Coturnix japonica: one gene and its partners. The protein of the gene in region 1 purifies or fractionates together with the protein of each later gene. This does not show direct contact. Links are inferred from orthologs where the notes say so. Each region holds a gene or a part of one and is shown in the gene's direction. Other genes may lie near its edges.

Region 1 (4,741 bases):
TCTCAGAGGGGACAAAGTCACCCCCGTGGTGTCCCTGCAGCTCAGCTCCGTCCCCATGGCCACCTCCAGTTCAGAGGGGACACAGCGCAGCCCCAGCACAACCCAGCCTTGCAGCATCCCAGTGACAAAGCCCTCACTGCAAGACCCCACACAGGGCTGGATCCCGCTCCCATAACACCCACAGTGCTTCTTGCACGGCGCCTTAATCAATGCAATTAATCAACAACGCTCTGGAGCTGCAAAGCTCCAGCTCCATGCAGCGCTGCTCACCAACACCACGCACCGCCCTGTCCAACCCCGCAGCACACGCTGCAAACAGGAAAGAAACAAAATATTGCCCAAATGTAGGCAAAGGCCCCTCGGCTGCCCTGACCTCCGCCGGGCCGGGCCCTGCCTGACTCAGCTCCTTACTCAGCTCTCGTTTCCTCCCTCCGGCTGCTGCTGCCGCTGCAGCTCACACCCTAACGAAGCACGGCCCTTGATGGGCTCTGCGATGCACCCAGCAGTCCAAGGGCTGGCCGGGAGGTTTGCACCGCTACTTGCTGACATGAGCGCTGAACTTGGCCCTGGGTAGCGCTGCAGGCCGGGAGGGGTGGGTGCAAACAATGCACCTGGTGCCCCATCCCCTCCCTTGCAGCACCAGGCCGATGGTGTGATTGCAGCTCGGTGCATGCACGCGCCGTGATACGTTCCTTGCTGCTGTAGCAGCCTAGTGCACGCACAGCCCTCGCTGTTATTGCAGCTCTGCGCACACACTCATTGTATCACTCCATCCCACAGCATGATGCACTCGCACTGGAGCTATCGCTGCTGGGTGCACACACTCATTGTATCGCTGCAGCTCAGTGCATGCACGCAGGCTGCTGTTATTGCTGCTGGGTGCACGCACATCAGTGTGGCTGCAGCTCAGTGCATGCACAGCCGGTGCGCATCGCTCCCACTGCTCCCATCGCTCCCATAGCTCCTATTGCTCCCATTGCTCCTACTGCTCCCATTGCTCCCATAGCACCCATAGATCCCATATAGCACCCATAGATCCCATACAGCTCCCATAGATCCCATATAGCACCCATAGATCCCATAGCTCCCATAGCTCCCGTAGCTCCCATCGCTATGGCCGCCTGTCCCCGGGAGGTGACTTCAAGGGGACCGCAGGACCACCGGGATGGGGGCAGGGCTGCATCCCCTCCCCAACAAAGCACTATGGAATCAAAGCATTATGGAATCAAAGCACTATGGAATCAAAAGGGGGTGGGGGTGGAAGGGAGCGTCACACCCCGCCGCTCAGCCTCACCTGGAGCTGAGCCCCACGCTCCCCTCTCCCCTTTCATCCCCCCAATTTCCTATTTATTTATTTCTTAATTATTTTGTGCAGCGATGGGGGCGGGCGGGGCGAGGCGGGAGAGGTGCGGCCACAGCCAATCAGAAGGGCGCGCTCCGAAAGTTTCCTTTTATGGCGAGGCGGCGGCGGCGGCGGCCCTATAAAAGGCGGAGCGGGCGGCGGGCGGGAGTCGCTTTGCGCTGCCTTCGCCCCGCGCCCCGCTCCGCATCCAGCCGCCTCGTGCCGCCCGACCCGGCTCCGACTGACCGCGGTACAAACACAGGTGAGCGGCCGGACCGCAACGCTGCGACAGCAGAGCTCCATTGTGCCATACGGGGGAGCACCGAGGGGCTGCGGGGGGGCGCTGTGTATTGGGGAGGGGGCGTGAGTCGGGGTGTGTGTGTGTGTTAACGGAGCCGGTGCTGCCCGGTGCCGCGGGGCGGTTCGGCGCTTTGTGCTGCGATGAGCGGGGCGGGGGGCGAGGGAACAAAGGCGGAGTGAGGGGTGGGGGGGGGTCGGGTTGTGACCCCCATGTGCAGCTTTAACCCCCCCCATGTGCAGCTGTACCCCCATGTGCAGCCCCCCCCCCCCAATCCTTGTTACAGATCGCGGGCTGTGCTGGCTGCGGGGCTGTGCTGGGTGCGGGGCCGTTGGGGGCTCGGGGCGGTGCCGGTGGTTGGGGGCGGCTGGTGGGCGGGGCTGGCTGCCCCTATAGCGCCGGCGGCTGTCGAGGCGCGGCTCGGAGCTGCCATTGCCTTTTATGGTCATGGTTGGAGGGCGCAGGGACTTCCTTTGTCCCAAATCTGTGCCGAGCCCAAATCCGGGAGGTGCCGCCTGACCCCCTCTAGCGGGCGAGGGGCGAAGCGGAGCCGGCAGGAAGGAAATGGGTGGGAGGAGGAGGGCCGTGCTGCCGCGCTGCCGCCCCGCGATCCATCCCCAGCGTTGGGGGGATCTATAGGGGGCGAGGCGGGGCGGGGTCCGGCTTCTAGTGCGTGACCGGCAGCGCTTCTATCTCACTGCCTCCTCTCTTCCTTCGCAGCCAGCCATGGATGATGATATTGCTGCGCTCGTTGTTGACAATGGCTCCGGTATGTGCAAGGCCGGTTTTGCCGGGGACGATGCCCCCCGTGCCGTGTTCCCATCCATCGTGGGTCGCCCCAGACATCAGGTACGGCAATGGCTGGAGTGATGCATCCAGACAATGGAGAGGAGTGTTCGGTGGGAGTGGTTGTGCTGAGGGCGTGGAGCCTCCAGAAGCCCTTTTACTTTCATGTGTGACATAAGAGGTTTCTACTCTGCAACAGTAACTGGTTGAATACACAGCATCCTGCCGAGCAACCCGTGTTGAGCCAATGGCTCCAGTCCTTAACCTGGCAGAGTAGGGGCAGTAGGGGGTTAGTGATTAAAGGTGTGGCTTCTGCGGGGGGGGGAAATAAAACCTTTATTCATCCATTGGATTTTGTCCTAGAGTTAAACTTAAAGCTTTTTCTTTGTTGTGCAGGGTGTGATGGTTGGTATGGGTCAGAAAGACAGCTATGTAGGTGATGAAGCGCAGAGCAAGAGAGGTATCCTGACCTTGAAATACCCCATTGAACATGGCATAATTACCAACTGGGATGATATGGAGAAGATCTGGCACCACACTTTCTACAATGAGCTCCGTGTTGCCCCTGAGGAGCACCCTGTGCTGCTCACAGAGGCTCCCCTGAACCCCAAAGCCAACAGAGAGAAGATGACACAGGTGTGTAAAACCCTTTGAGCCTGGAGCTACAGCAGGCGCTGCTGCAGGCCAGCTCTCCTCTTCCATGTTGTCCTCTATCCGCCTTCACCACTTCTCCCTTTTTGCCATCTTTACAGGGTTTTCCTTTCCTGACCTGAGTCTCCTCTTTGCTGGACCTTGACAGGTTTTGTTTGCTCTAAGCTGGCTTTCTCTGAGACTGAACTAGCAACTTGTCTAACTGCTGTTTCTGACTAGACACTAATCCATTTACCAGCCTTGAATGACTATACTGTAGTTCCTTGGCCTTTGTTTCGTTCCTTGCTGTGTCATGTGGATGGGCCTGTGGTAGCAGTGTCCTTGCTCAGGCTCTAACCTGGCAGGTGTGGGTGGAGACCAAGCGAGATAAGCACTGATATCTCCTTCTAGAGGAGCAAAGAAGCCTCTTTATCTAGGGACAAATGTAAAACCACATGCATGGACTGATGTAGGCATGCAGTGAGAACCTTGGTTTATTCTGCTTGACTCAGTGCTTTCTTATCTCTCTAGATTATGTTTGAGACCTTCAATGTCCCAGCCATGTATGTAGCAATTCAGGCTGTGCTGTCCCTGTATGCCTCTGGTCGCACCACTGGTATTGTGATGGACTCTGGTGATGGTGTTACCCACACTGTGCCCATCTATGAAGGCTATGCCCTCCCCCATGCCATCCTGCGTCTGGATCTGGCTGGCCGTGACCTGACGGACTACCTCATGAAGATCCTGACAGAGAGAGGCTACAGCTTCACCACCACAGCCGAGAGAGAAATTGTGCGTGACATCAAGGAGAAGCTGTGCTACGTCGCACTGGATTTCGAGCAGGAGATGGCCACAGCTGCCTCTAGCTCTTCCCTGGAGAAGAGCTATGAACTCCCTGATGGTCAACTCATCACCATTGGCAATGAGAGGTTCAGGTGCCCTGAGGCCCTCTTCCAGCCATCTTTCTTGGGTAAGTCTGACTCCTTTTAGGAGATTCCGTGCCCCTTCTGCCTAGAGTGACTTAGAGACTAGTCAGCTGCCATTGTACTGCTGGCCCTTAGCAGGTCTGTCCCATTCCACTTCAGTCTTTGTCTTCCTCAGCCTGAGGATGATAGAGGTACCTAGGTCAGAACCAGGAGGCTGAGCCTGTAAGCCATGGCTTTGCTTGTGTTGCTTCCCACTATGGGGTCTTTGTTTCTCTTCCCATAGCAGTAGGTCCTTTGGCTTCCTTGACCCTGAACTGCTGACTGACCTGACACTGCTTTTTGCTTGCAGGTATGGAGTCCTGTGGTATCCATGAAACTACCTACAACAGAATCATGAAGTGTGATATTGATATCCGTAAGGACCTGTATGCCAACACAGTGCTGTCTGGTGGTACCACAATGTACCCTGGCATTGCTGACAGGATGCAGAAGGAGATCACAGCCCTGGCACCTAGCACAATGAAAATCAAGGTAGGCTGCAGCTCTGGGCTGTTCCTAGCATACCTCTTAATGCGGAGTGGGTGGAGGCTGAACTAAACTACAGAAGATGGAAACTGCTTTGTCTTCATGGTGGAGCCTTACAGCCTTGCTCTGGGCAGGGTGGCAGCCACTCAGCCATGTGTGTAATGAGATTAAGTGCTGGCTGCGAGTGGGGGAGGGTGTTGTGTGTGAGGCTGTGCCTTAAGCCTGCTCAGACTC
Region 2 (4,562 bases), on another chromosome or scaffold:
TCGGTGCCCTTTGGGCCAATTTGGGAGTTTTTCTACATCTGACACAGGGATCCCGCCCCAGGGCAGCACTGCACCATAAAAGGCAAAGCGCTGGGGAAGCGCTGGGATGGAGCCCGGTGCCAGGCACCCGCTCCCCCCGTGGCTGAGCTCCCAGAGCCCGCTTGGCAACGGTGACCACATCCAAAGGGGAGAACTTTGAGCTCCCAGCAGTGTTTAGAGAAGCACCCGCTACATCCGTAGAGATTTTTGCTAAGTTATGCCTTGGAATGTCTTATAGGAATCTTGTTTCTGAGCGTGGCTGATGTTGGGCTCCGCTGTTAGTGATGCCATAGAAACTCCCTTAGCACTGATCCATCCCTGCGCTCACTGCAGCCGGCCCGGCCCTCCTGGGGGCCCTGCGCCAGCAGCGCTGCGTCCCAGCGAGCAGCAAGCGGGCGGCAGCTGCGGGGTGAGCCCAGAGCTCCTGCTGAAGGGTGACCCTGCCCCAGTGGTGGGCCTGACCCCAAATCACTGAGAGCAGAGGGGAGCGAGGAGCTGTGACCGCTGGGGAAAGGAGGAGAGAACCTGAAGGAGGATGCAGAGGGAGCGCTGCCCGTAAAGCACCATGGGGCAGCACGTGGTGCGGTGATGGGCGCTGCACAGAGTGACCCCAGGCCCTGCGCTAGGAGCTGTGTCATGCCAGCGGGCAGACCTCGGCCACGAGGCTGAGAAGCCCCTGCAACGCCAGCACTGAGCAAGGAGAAGGCAGTGAGCCCTGGTGGAAGCGGGGCGCTGAGCATGGCAGCCTCCACCTGGCAGTCCTGTGGATATTTACGGGATGACACAAGCCAGGCACGAGGCACAGACTGCGCCACGTCCCGGGGAGGTTCTGCAGTAGCACGCCAGGAGCGCAGCCCGCAGCCTCGTCAGCAGGGCCTGGGTGCCACGATCCGGGCACACGGCCCCGCCATGAGCTCCGCGGGGATGGAAGGAGAAAGCCCTCCTAAGGTGTATGAGATGCAGGTGGGGCAGCATCGGGCCGGCAGCGGGCGCACGGTGAGGCCGGTGGTCTACAGGCTGGAGGAGAGCGAGTATCGACGGCTGCTGAAGGAGGCAGAAGAAGGCCCCGAGGAGGAGTGGGAGCCTGAGAACCAGGGGCTGGGACAGCAGGAGGGCTGCCCAGGGAATGGGGTGACGGCGAGCCCCAGGCTCCATCGGATTGATGTGCTGCGGGGAGCCCCACTGATCCGCTCGTACTCGGAGAGCAGCGTGGAGCTGCGGGTGGGGAGCAAAGCGCCGGGCTGCCCCATGGAGGGTGGCAAACCCCGCGTCCCAGCCAGGTCAGACAGCTTCGAGCTGATGGATTACATCCTGCAGAGCAGGCAGGAGGCGGGGGCACCGCTGTCCCACAGCCCCCGAGATGGATTCATGCAGGTGTTGGGCTTTGCACCGTGCCAGAACGGAGAGGATGGGCAGCTCACAAAGAGCCGTGCAGCCAGAGATGCTGGGAAGCTCACGAGGCAGAACAGCACCCAGGTGGCGGAGAGCAGGGAATGGCTTGGAGCAGATGTGGATATGGAGATGCTGGAGTCGTACAGCCAGAAAAAATCACCTCCGGCCCCACCGGTCAGGACGCACAGTAAGGAGAGCCTGGCGCTGAGCATGAGCAAGACCGTAGCACTGAGCGAGGCACTGCTGGAGCCATGCAGCCCTGCGGCCCGGCCAGGGGGGAAGGAGCCAACAGGAGGGGGCCCGAAGGAGCAGGGGAGGAAGAGCGAGGAGGAGGAGGAAGAGGAGGAGGAGAAAGTGCTCAAAGTGGCTGATGCCAAGAAAACCTTTGAGAAGGCGAAAGCGGAGGGGAAGGCAGCGGTTAGCAGCACACGGAAAGGTGAGGGGGCAGCAGGGGGAGTGGGGCACTGCTCTGCAAAGTGGGTGTGGGGTTGGGGGCTGCAGAGCTGGGGTTGTATCGGGGATGGATTATTCTGATGGGTGCTGTGTGAGGTGGGGCTTTGCTGTGTCATGGTTCTCCCGGAGCCCTTGGTGCAATTAGTAAATGAGTGCCAAGCCCAGCTCGGATGCTTTTCATGAACAGATCTAACACAGGAGAGACTGCATGGCACTTCTTCACGCTTTCACCTGTGCTTCTTTGCCTCTCTGCACACCGGGCCATCCCGTAGCAGTTTAATTACGGTGTAACCAGGAGGTGTTGTCATCCTCGGGTTCTTTTTTCCTGCTCCGGGACTTGGCTGTGTGAGTTCATGACATCAGTTGGAAGCCGTCCCTCTGCAAAGCTGTGAATAAGTGAGCTCTGCTGGGATTTTAACGGTGAAACAGCAACAGGGAGAGGTTAGAAATGAGTGTGTTTGAGGACGTGTCGGGCCGTGATGGTGAAGCTGCACCTTTGGTCTATTGACAGTCCGCGATTGGGGATTTCCTTATAAAGGAAAATAAATGTCAGGGCGCAGGGAATCTGTGCTGCTTTGGAACAGATTGATGCTGTTACTTAAAAGCCAAAGGCAAGTTATCCCACAGGGGTAACTCTCCATAGGGGTGATCACACTGTGAGCAGATCCCTCCTGGGGTGATAGGGAACAATTCTGTTCCTGCAGCCCATTGAGCAAACCTGCTGCCCACGCCTCGCGCTGCGCAAGGACATCTCGCTTCCATGTACCGCTGTGTGATGCCTTTCTTATTACCTCTGATTTTTCCAGCACCTTTGGCCCAACTTGATCCTAGACAGCAGGGAGAGAAACAGAACGAGATGGCAAAAGGCTTCCAAACTGGTTGACTAATGAGGACATGGGATGACACGGAGACCCGCACGCAGCCCCGCTCACAGCCCCGCTCACCCCCTGCTGCCTGCCTGACTTTATTCCTTCTATTCAGAATGATAGGAAGTGTCAGTCCTGGGATATCCGTGTTGTAAATAAAATACAGCTTGCTTTTTTCATTACTGCTATTATTGTGCGTGTGTGTGTGTGTGTGTGTGTGTGTTCAGCTTTCTGGTCTCTCTCCCATAGTCAGTCATCTGGCGTAGCGGAGATAGCAACAAAGAGAAATCCCATCCGTTGCAACCGATTGCTTCGTGGTTATTTGGTGTTTAGTTGAGGTGTGGGGACCACCAGCCTTTCATTGCAAGAGAGATGGAGAAAAAGATGTTATAATTGTGTGACTGTAGAATGGTTGGAGTCGGAAGGGACCCCCAAAGGCATCTGTTCCCACTGCCTGCAGTGCTCAGGGACACCCACAGCTCCATCAGTGCTCACAGCCCCATCCCCTGACCATGGGTATCCCCAGGTCCAGGCCCTGAATGGAAAAGGAAGGTAAAAGATGAGCTTGGGTTTGATATAAAGATCAGCTCTCTGTAGCAGCAGGTATTTCTGTGCCTTTCCTATGGAATGGTTGGCTGTGACATCTATATGGCTATACATAACACGCGTGAGAGTGTGCATAGGTAGTAATAGATGTGCCTTATGAACTGTGAGTTAAATCATTCACAGCAGCAGTATGAATTATAGATAATGCCATGGCCTAAAGCAGGGATGGGGCCACGCAGAGGTGGGCAGGGCTGTGCTAAATCCAGGGGGCTCCAGCTCCTCACTGCTGCTTTAACTCACGTTCACCTTTCCTTCTGTCTGCATCACTGACCTGCTCTCACATTTCTCCCTTTCCCAACCTGATGGGACACATTGCTCATGTAAGCTTTGCTCTGTAATTCCACAGCTCCCCTTTCTGGCCAAGGACTGAATAAAAGGGATTTGCTTGCTTGATCTGAAAGCTGAACTGGTCCTGGAAAAGTCATATAATTGGGATGCCCGCAGTCCCAAACTCTCCTGCCTGGTGTATTGGGTGTGACTTAGCAGCTAAGCTGGCAAAAACAGGACTTGCTGATCTCTCTGAACCCTCTTTGAGCCATTTCCCTTCACTTAGAATCCATTTATCCACCAGGACTTCAGCAAATTGAAATGCTTGTAACAAATGCATCCCCCAAGTGACTTCCTAAAGACTGCGTGGCTGGGATGGCTCTGCCCTGCCCTTAGGAGCACTGCTCAGGCCCCCATGGAGCAGGCTGTCTGTGCCACCCTATTTTCCATGTCCTAATGTCTCATTTATAGCTTAAGCTCTTATTCTCTTAGTGGGATGCCCAGGGGAAACGCACTCCTGGGGGTTTGCTTCTGATGCTGAGAGCAAAGTGATTTTGCAGCAGTGCTGAGAGCCACAGCTCTGAGCAGCGATGCCCCAAAGCTTTGCAAATAACCCATGTGCCTCCTGGTGTTGCTTTCTTCACCTTTTCTGAACTAGAACGAACATTGCTGCTCTGGCAAGGAAGGTTGAATGCGTTACTTATAAGGCGTGTCAGGATCGCCGCTGCCATGATTTATTGCACCGATGGAATTGATGCATATTTGCAAGCAAGCTAAATTTAGCTGCTGACCTAAGTTGCACAGATGGAGTCTGGAAACAAGGGGCTGTTTCCGTATAAAGGCTGTGAGACAGACCTGGCAGCAACTTGTGCATCCTTATAGCAGAGGGCAAGATAGGTGAGATGGATTAAGGTGCTTCTGTATTAATCCTGAGGGGTT
Region 3 (4,702 bases), on another chromosome or scaffold:
GATGCGCCAGTTATCGAGAGAATAAAAGCATCTATTTGATTGTAGAGGAAATGGTAAAAACTCCTTTGAAAATCCAATTAAAGAAGCACGGGGAAAGGAACGACTGCTGAAGACTTAACTAGGGCATGGTTAGAAGGTTATCCAACAACTCGGCAGGCTTTCAGCTGTGAATATACCAACGAAACTGCTGTCCTAAGAAATGCATGCTTCCATATGCCTTTATTTATGGAAGCCTTTTAAATACATCCCATAACTGTGCAGTTTCTTATGGGCCGCGTAAGAAATCAGTAACACATTTCCTTTCTCCTCCCCCTGCTGAGGTGCAAGTGGCTGAATGTTTTCAACTATGCTTTAGCAGAACAGATACTTGGACAAACTTATCCATCTAAAAACACCCCCACTGACAGGCATTGCAGAAGCTAAACTAGAAACCATCCTGTAGAATAAAGCTTCGTGGACATGTTTACAGCCTTGGTTTTACAGATGTGGTGTGCTCAGCTTTCTTACTAGTTATTGACCCTTACTCCTCAGCCTGAGCCATGAAAAGTCACTTAATGAAGATGCTGGTACTCTGCCTTCATAGCAAATGCCTTCAGTGATTTAACACCTAGATGTGAGCTATAGTTATATATTGGTGGGTATGGCCCGCGGTGCTGGAGTTCAAGGAGCATTTGGATGCTGCTCTCAGACGTGTGGAGCCAGGAGTGGGACGCGGTGATCCCTGGGGCTGCCTTCCAACTCAGCATGTTCTGTGGAGCCCCTGCCAACAATTGAATGGGATTACAGTTGAGTACACGTAAGTAACTGTAACATGGGTGCATTACATTCTCTTAGAAGAAGAAAACAGATCCTTTTAACCCAGACTGCCCAGGGAGGTTGTGGATGCCCCGTCCTTGGAGGTGTTCAAGGCCAGGATGGATGGGGCCCTGGGCAACCTGATCTAGTAAATGTGTATGTTTGGTGGCCCTGCCAGGCAGGGGGTGATCCTTGAGGTCCCTTCCAAACCAGGTCGTTCTGTGATTAAAGGAATAAAGTATTTGTTTCCCTTCTGGGGTTAATTTCCCACTAGAAAGCCATACAGGTGTTTTACACGAGTACACCCTGCTGGAATCACGAGGGCTTTCAGTGCTGGTGCCCCCGTTTCAGAAGCCAAAGGCTGGGGCTGCCAGCACCTTTGGTGACTCTCATGGGGCACCTGTCAGCCGGGAATGTACGGCATGGGGGCACTCGGGGCAGTTTGGAGCTCTCAAGCAGAAGCCCCGAATTGATGCTGAAGCGAATCTCCTTGGCCCTGTGTGAAACGCGAGGCCACCGGGGATCTCTGCTAGTCTGCAAGTTCCCACCCCGCAGCTCGCTGTCCGCGTCCCCTCGGGCCGCAGTCTCGGGCCTGAGGCGGAGCTCGGCGACTCTATGGCTGCCGTGCCGAGGGGGAGGCGGCGGAGCGGCACCTCCATCCCGGCTGGCCGCGCTCCAGGCGATGCCGTTCAGCATTGGGGCAGCGAGTCCCGACCGGCCGCCACTCGGCCCGGCTCCCCCGGGGCTGGGATCCGCACCCCGCCCCTCCCCGCCGCCCCCAGGGGAGCACGGCGTGCGGCGCTGCCGGGCGGGGCTTAGCGCGGGGCTTAGCGCTGGGCCCGCCGGGAGCCGTGACGCGGCGCCGAGGCCCCGCCCCGTGGCAGGGTATATAAGGGGCGGCGCTCACGCCGTCGTTCTTTTCCGCTCCGGGTTTGCCGACGCCGTGCGGGTGAGGAGCGTGCGGCGGGGCGGGCCGGGCCCGGGGGTGGGGGGAGCGGGGATGCTGGGGGTGCGTGGATGTACCGTGAGCGGGGGGTTGAGGCGCCGCCGTGCAGCGGTGCGTGGGGATGGCGGAGCGGGGGGATGGCGAGATAAGGGGCGGATGGGGGAAGCGGGGCGAGCGGCGGCGTAACGCCGACGTGTCCCATCCGAGGGCTCACGCGAGGCAGCGCCGCGATGAGCACATGGGGCCGCACCGCCGCTTCGGCTTCTTGCGGAGCCGCCTGGCGCTGCTGTGCGGCGTGCGGTGCTCGGCCGTACGCGGGTGGCGGCCGGGGATGGCGGGGCCGCGCCGTCGGTGTGGGCGATGGGGGAAGGGAAGGCCGGGGCACGAGAAAAAAAATGGCCGCCCGCTCTTCCTGCCGCCGTCAGCTCACAAAATGGAGGACGGCGGCCCGGGCGGGGTGAGTCACACACAAAGGAGAGGGGCGGCCCCGCCCTCCGCGCCGCCCCGCGCCGCCGCCCCAGCACGGCCCGGCCCGGCCGCCATGCGGGGAGGGGGCGACGGAGGAGGGGGGCGAGCCGGAGGGGACACGGGCCGCCAACACCGCCCGCCTCTCCCCGCTGCTCGACTCCCCCCTCCCATCCCCCGGTGGGGCGGGGCCGAGCCTACACGGGCCCTCTGCCCCCTGCGGGCGGCGCTGCTGCGGGACGGGGGCGGCCGCTGTAACCGGGATTCCTTCTGGAACTTTCAGGTGTCGTTTCTCTTTGGCCGGAAGAAAGAAGCTAAAGACCATCCGAAATGGGAAAGGAGAAGACTCACATTAACATCGTCGTCATCGGCCACGTCGATTCCGGCAAGTCCACCACCACCGGGCACCTCATCTACAAATGTGGTGGCATCGACAAGAGGACCATCGAGAAGTTCGAGAAGGAGGCGGCCGAGGTGTGTGAGGCAGCCGTGTGGTGGGAGACTGGGGGGAATAAGGGGCAAAAGGAAGGAAACCAGAACGTTTTACTACCACAAGGAGGCGGTTGGGTCGAGATTGTCCTGGTAATTGAACTAGAGTACTCAATCTGTTATGTTAAGGTGAAGTCATCGAAGCATAGAATAAAGAGCATGAAGCTAAATCTGAACGCTTAGAATCAAAATGGGAGCTCCCATCTTCATTCTCGGCCTGGATTGAGAATTACAGAATCGTTAATGTTGGAGAAGACCTTGAAACTCCAACTATCAGCCCATCCCCACCATGGCCACTAACCATGTCCCTCAGTGCCACGTCAGCAGGTTTCTTGGACACTTCAAGGGTAGTGACTCCACCATCTCTGTGCACAGCCTGTTTCAATGCATTGCTGCTCTTATGGAGTAGGAATTACTCCTAATATCCAATCTGGACCTCCCCTGGCACAGCTTTAGACTGTTGTCTCATGTCATCTTGTAGTTTAGTTGAAAATGTAATGATCAGCCTTGTCTCAAGGTGGGAGAGTCTAAGGTACCATTATGTGAACCTGTGGAAGTATTCCAGTTTTCCTTTGTTTTGTTTTAGTGATAAAATAGCACCTCGTAAGCACATGATAAAAGGAAATGCAGTGAATGCTGGGCTGTGTGGCTGTTAAAATACCAACTGGAGCAGGGATGGCATTAGTAACTAAGCTAAAATTTGTAGTGGACACTTGATAGTAGGACTAAGCCTTAAGAGATCCATCATAAAGATGTGTTAGCACAATTAACAAGTTGTCAAGAGGGCTGAAGTGTCAGCAGGTTAAATGACAGAGCAGTTGGCATATCTTGGTAGTAGTGCCAAGTGAACCTAGGCCAGAGTTTTATGAGCAACAGCAGCTTTCAGTGTAAGTCACTCCCTATTAATAACTTTGCTCGTTAGTGTGTATTTCATGGTCTTGGTGAGGTAAATGAAAATATATATCTTGAGGGGTTTTTTTTTCCTGTTTCAAACCCATAGATGGGCAAAGGTTCCTTCAAATACGCCTGGGTCTTGGACAAGCTCAAGGCTGAGCGTGAGCGTGGTATCACTATTGATATTTCCCTGTGGAAATTTGAAACAAGCAAGTACTACGTCACCATCATCGACGCTCCTGGACACAGAGACTTCATTAAGAACATGATCACTGGAACTTCTCAGGTAAGGAAATAAAGGATGTGGGGAGTTGAGGGAAGCTGCTCCTTGGCTGGTTTACAGCAGGGAAATTGCCCATGTGCTTTAGTGTGCGTGTAGGCTTTCTAACAAGGGCTTTTTTCTACCTTTTCAAAGGCTGATTGTGCTGTCCTGATTGTTGCTGCTGGTGTTGGTGAGTTCGAGGCCGGTATTTCCAAGAACGGGCAGACCCGCGAGCACGCTCTTCTGGCCTACACCCTGGGTGTGAAACAGCTGATCGTTGGTGTTAACAAGATGGATTCCACTGAGCCCGCTTACAGCCAGAAGAGATACGAAGAGATCGTCAAGGAAGTCAGCACTTACATCAAGAAAATTGGCTACAACCCAGACACTGTAGCTTTTGTGCCAATCTCTGGTTGGAACGGGGACAACATGCTGGAGCCCAGCTCTAACGTAGGTTTCCCTGTTTTCCTTTTTAATATTAGGAAATGGAACTAGCAGGATCATTAAGATAAGTTAAACAATAGTTAAATACGTGGGTTTGGGTTTTTTCAGTAGTAGTATTTTGAAATGTTGGGGTCAGTGTGAAATCCTAGTGCTTTATGAATTGTTATTCTGCAGTAATGAAGATGATGCAAGGAGTTAGGCCAGTTGTTTCATAGCTTCGTTCTATTAACATGGGCAGATGACTGACGGTTGGGGGCTGTTTTGTTACAGATGCCCTGGTTCAAGGGATGGAAGGTTACCCGCAAAGACGGCAATGCCAGTGGAACCACCCTCCTGGAAGCCTTGGACTGCATCCTGCCTCCAACTCGTCCAACTGACAAACCTCTGCGTCTGCCTCTTCAAGATGT

Evidence for each region.
Region 2: the proteins of ACTB (region 1) and CORO1C fractionate together in Homo sapiens (co-fractionation; 3 studies listed by BioGRID). This does not show direct contact. The link is inferred for Coturnix japonica from reciprocal best matches to the Homo sapiens genes ACTB and CORO1C.
Region 3: the proteins of ACTB (region 1) and EEF1A1 fractionate together in Homo sapiens (co-fractionation; 3 studies listed by BioGRID, with this or other methods). This does not show direct contact. The link is inferred for Coturnix japonica from reciprocal best matches to the Homo sapiens genes ACTB and EEF1A1.

The regions. Positions count from the first base shown.
Region 1 is NC_029529.1:4,231,559-4,236,299, reverse strand, and holds the start of ACTB (actin, cytoplasmic 1), read left to right. Parts: upstream 1-1,471; 5' UTR 1,472-1,604; intron 1,605-2,360; 5' UTR 2,361-2,366; coding exon 2,367-2,489; intron 2,490-2,822; coding exon 2,823-3,062; intron 3,063-3,587; coding exon 3,588-4,026; intron 4,027-4,331; coding exon 4,332-4,513; intron 4,514-4,741. UniProt on the Homo sapiens protein: Actin is a highly conserved protein that polymerizes to produce filaments that form cross-linked networks in the cytoplasm of cells.
Region 2 is NC_029530.1:5,714,894-5,719,455, reverse strand, and holds the start of CORO1C (coronin-1C), read left to right. Parts: upstream 1-1,475; 5' UTR 1,476-1,554; coding exon 1,555-1,867; intron 1,868-4,562. UniProt on the Homo sapiens protein: Plays a role in directed cell migration by regulating the activation and subcellular location of RAC1. Increases the presence of activated RAC1 at the leading edge of migrating cells.
Region 3 is NC_029518.1:74,352,481-74,357,182, forward strand, and holds the start of EEF1A1 (elongation factor 1-alpha 1), read left to right. Parts: upstream 1-1,615; 5' UTR 1,616-1,744; intron 1,745-2,489; 5' UTR 2,490-2,536; coding exon 2,537-2,680; intron 2,681-3,695; coding exon 3,696-3,875; intron 3,876-4,004; coding exon 4,005-4,301; intron 4,302-4,565; coding exon 4,566-4,702. UniProt on the Homo sapiens protein: Translation elongation factor that catalyzes the GTP-dependent binding of aminoacyl-tRNA (aa-tRNA) to the A-site of ribosomes during the elongation phase of protein synthesis.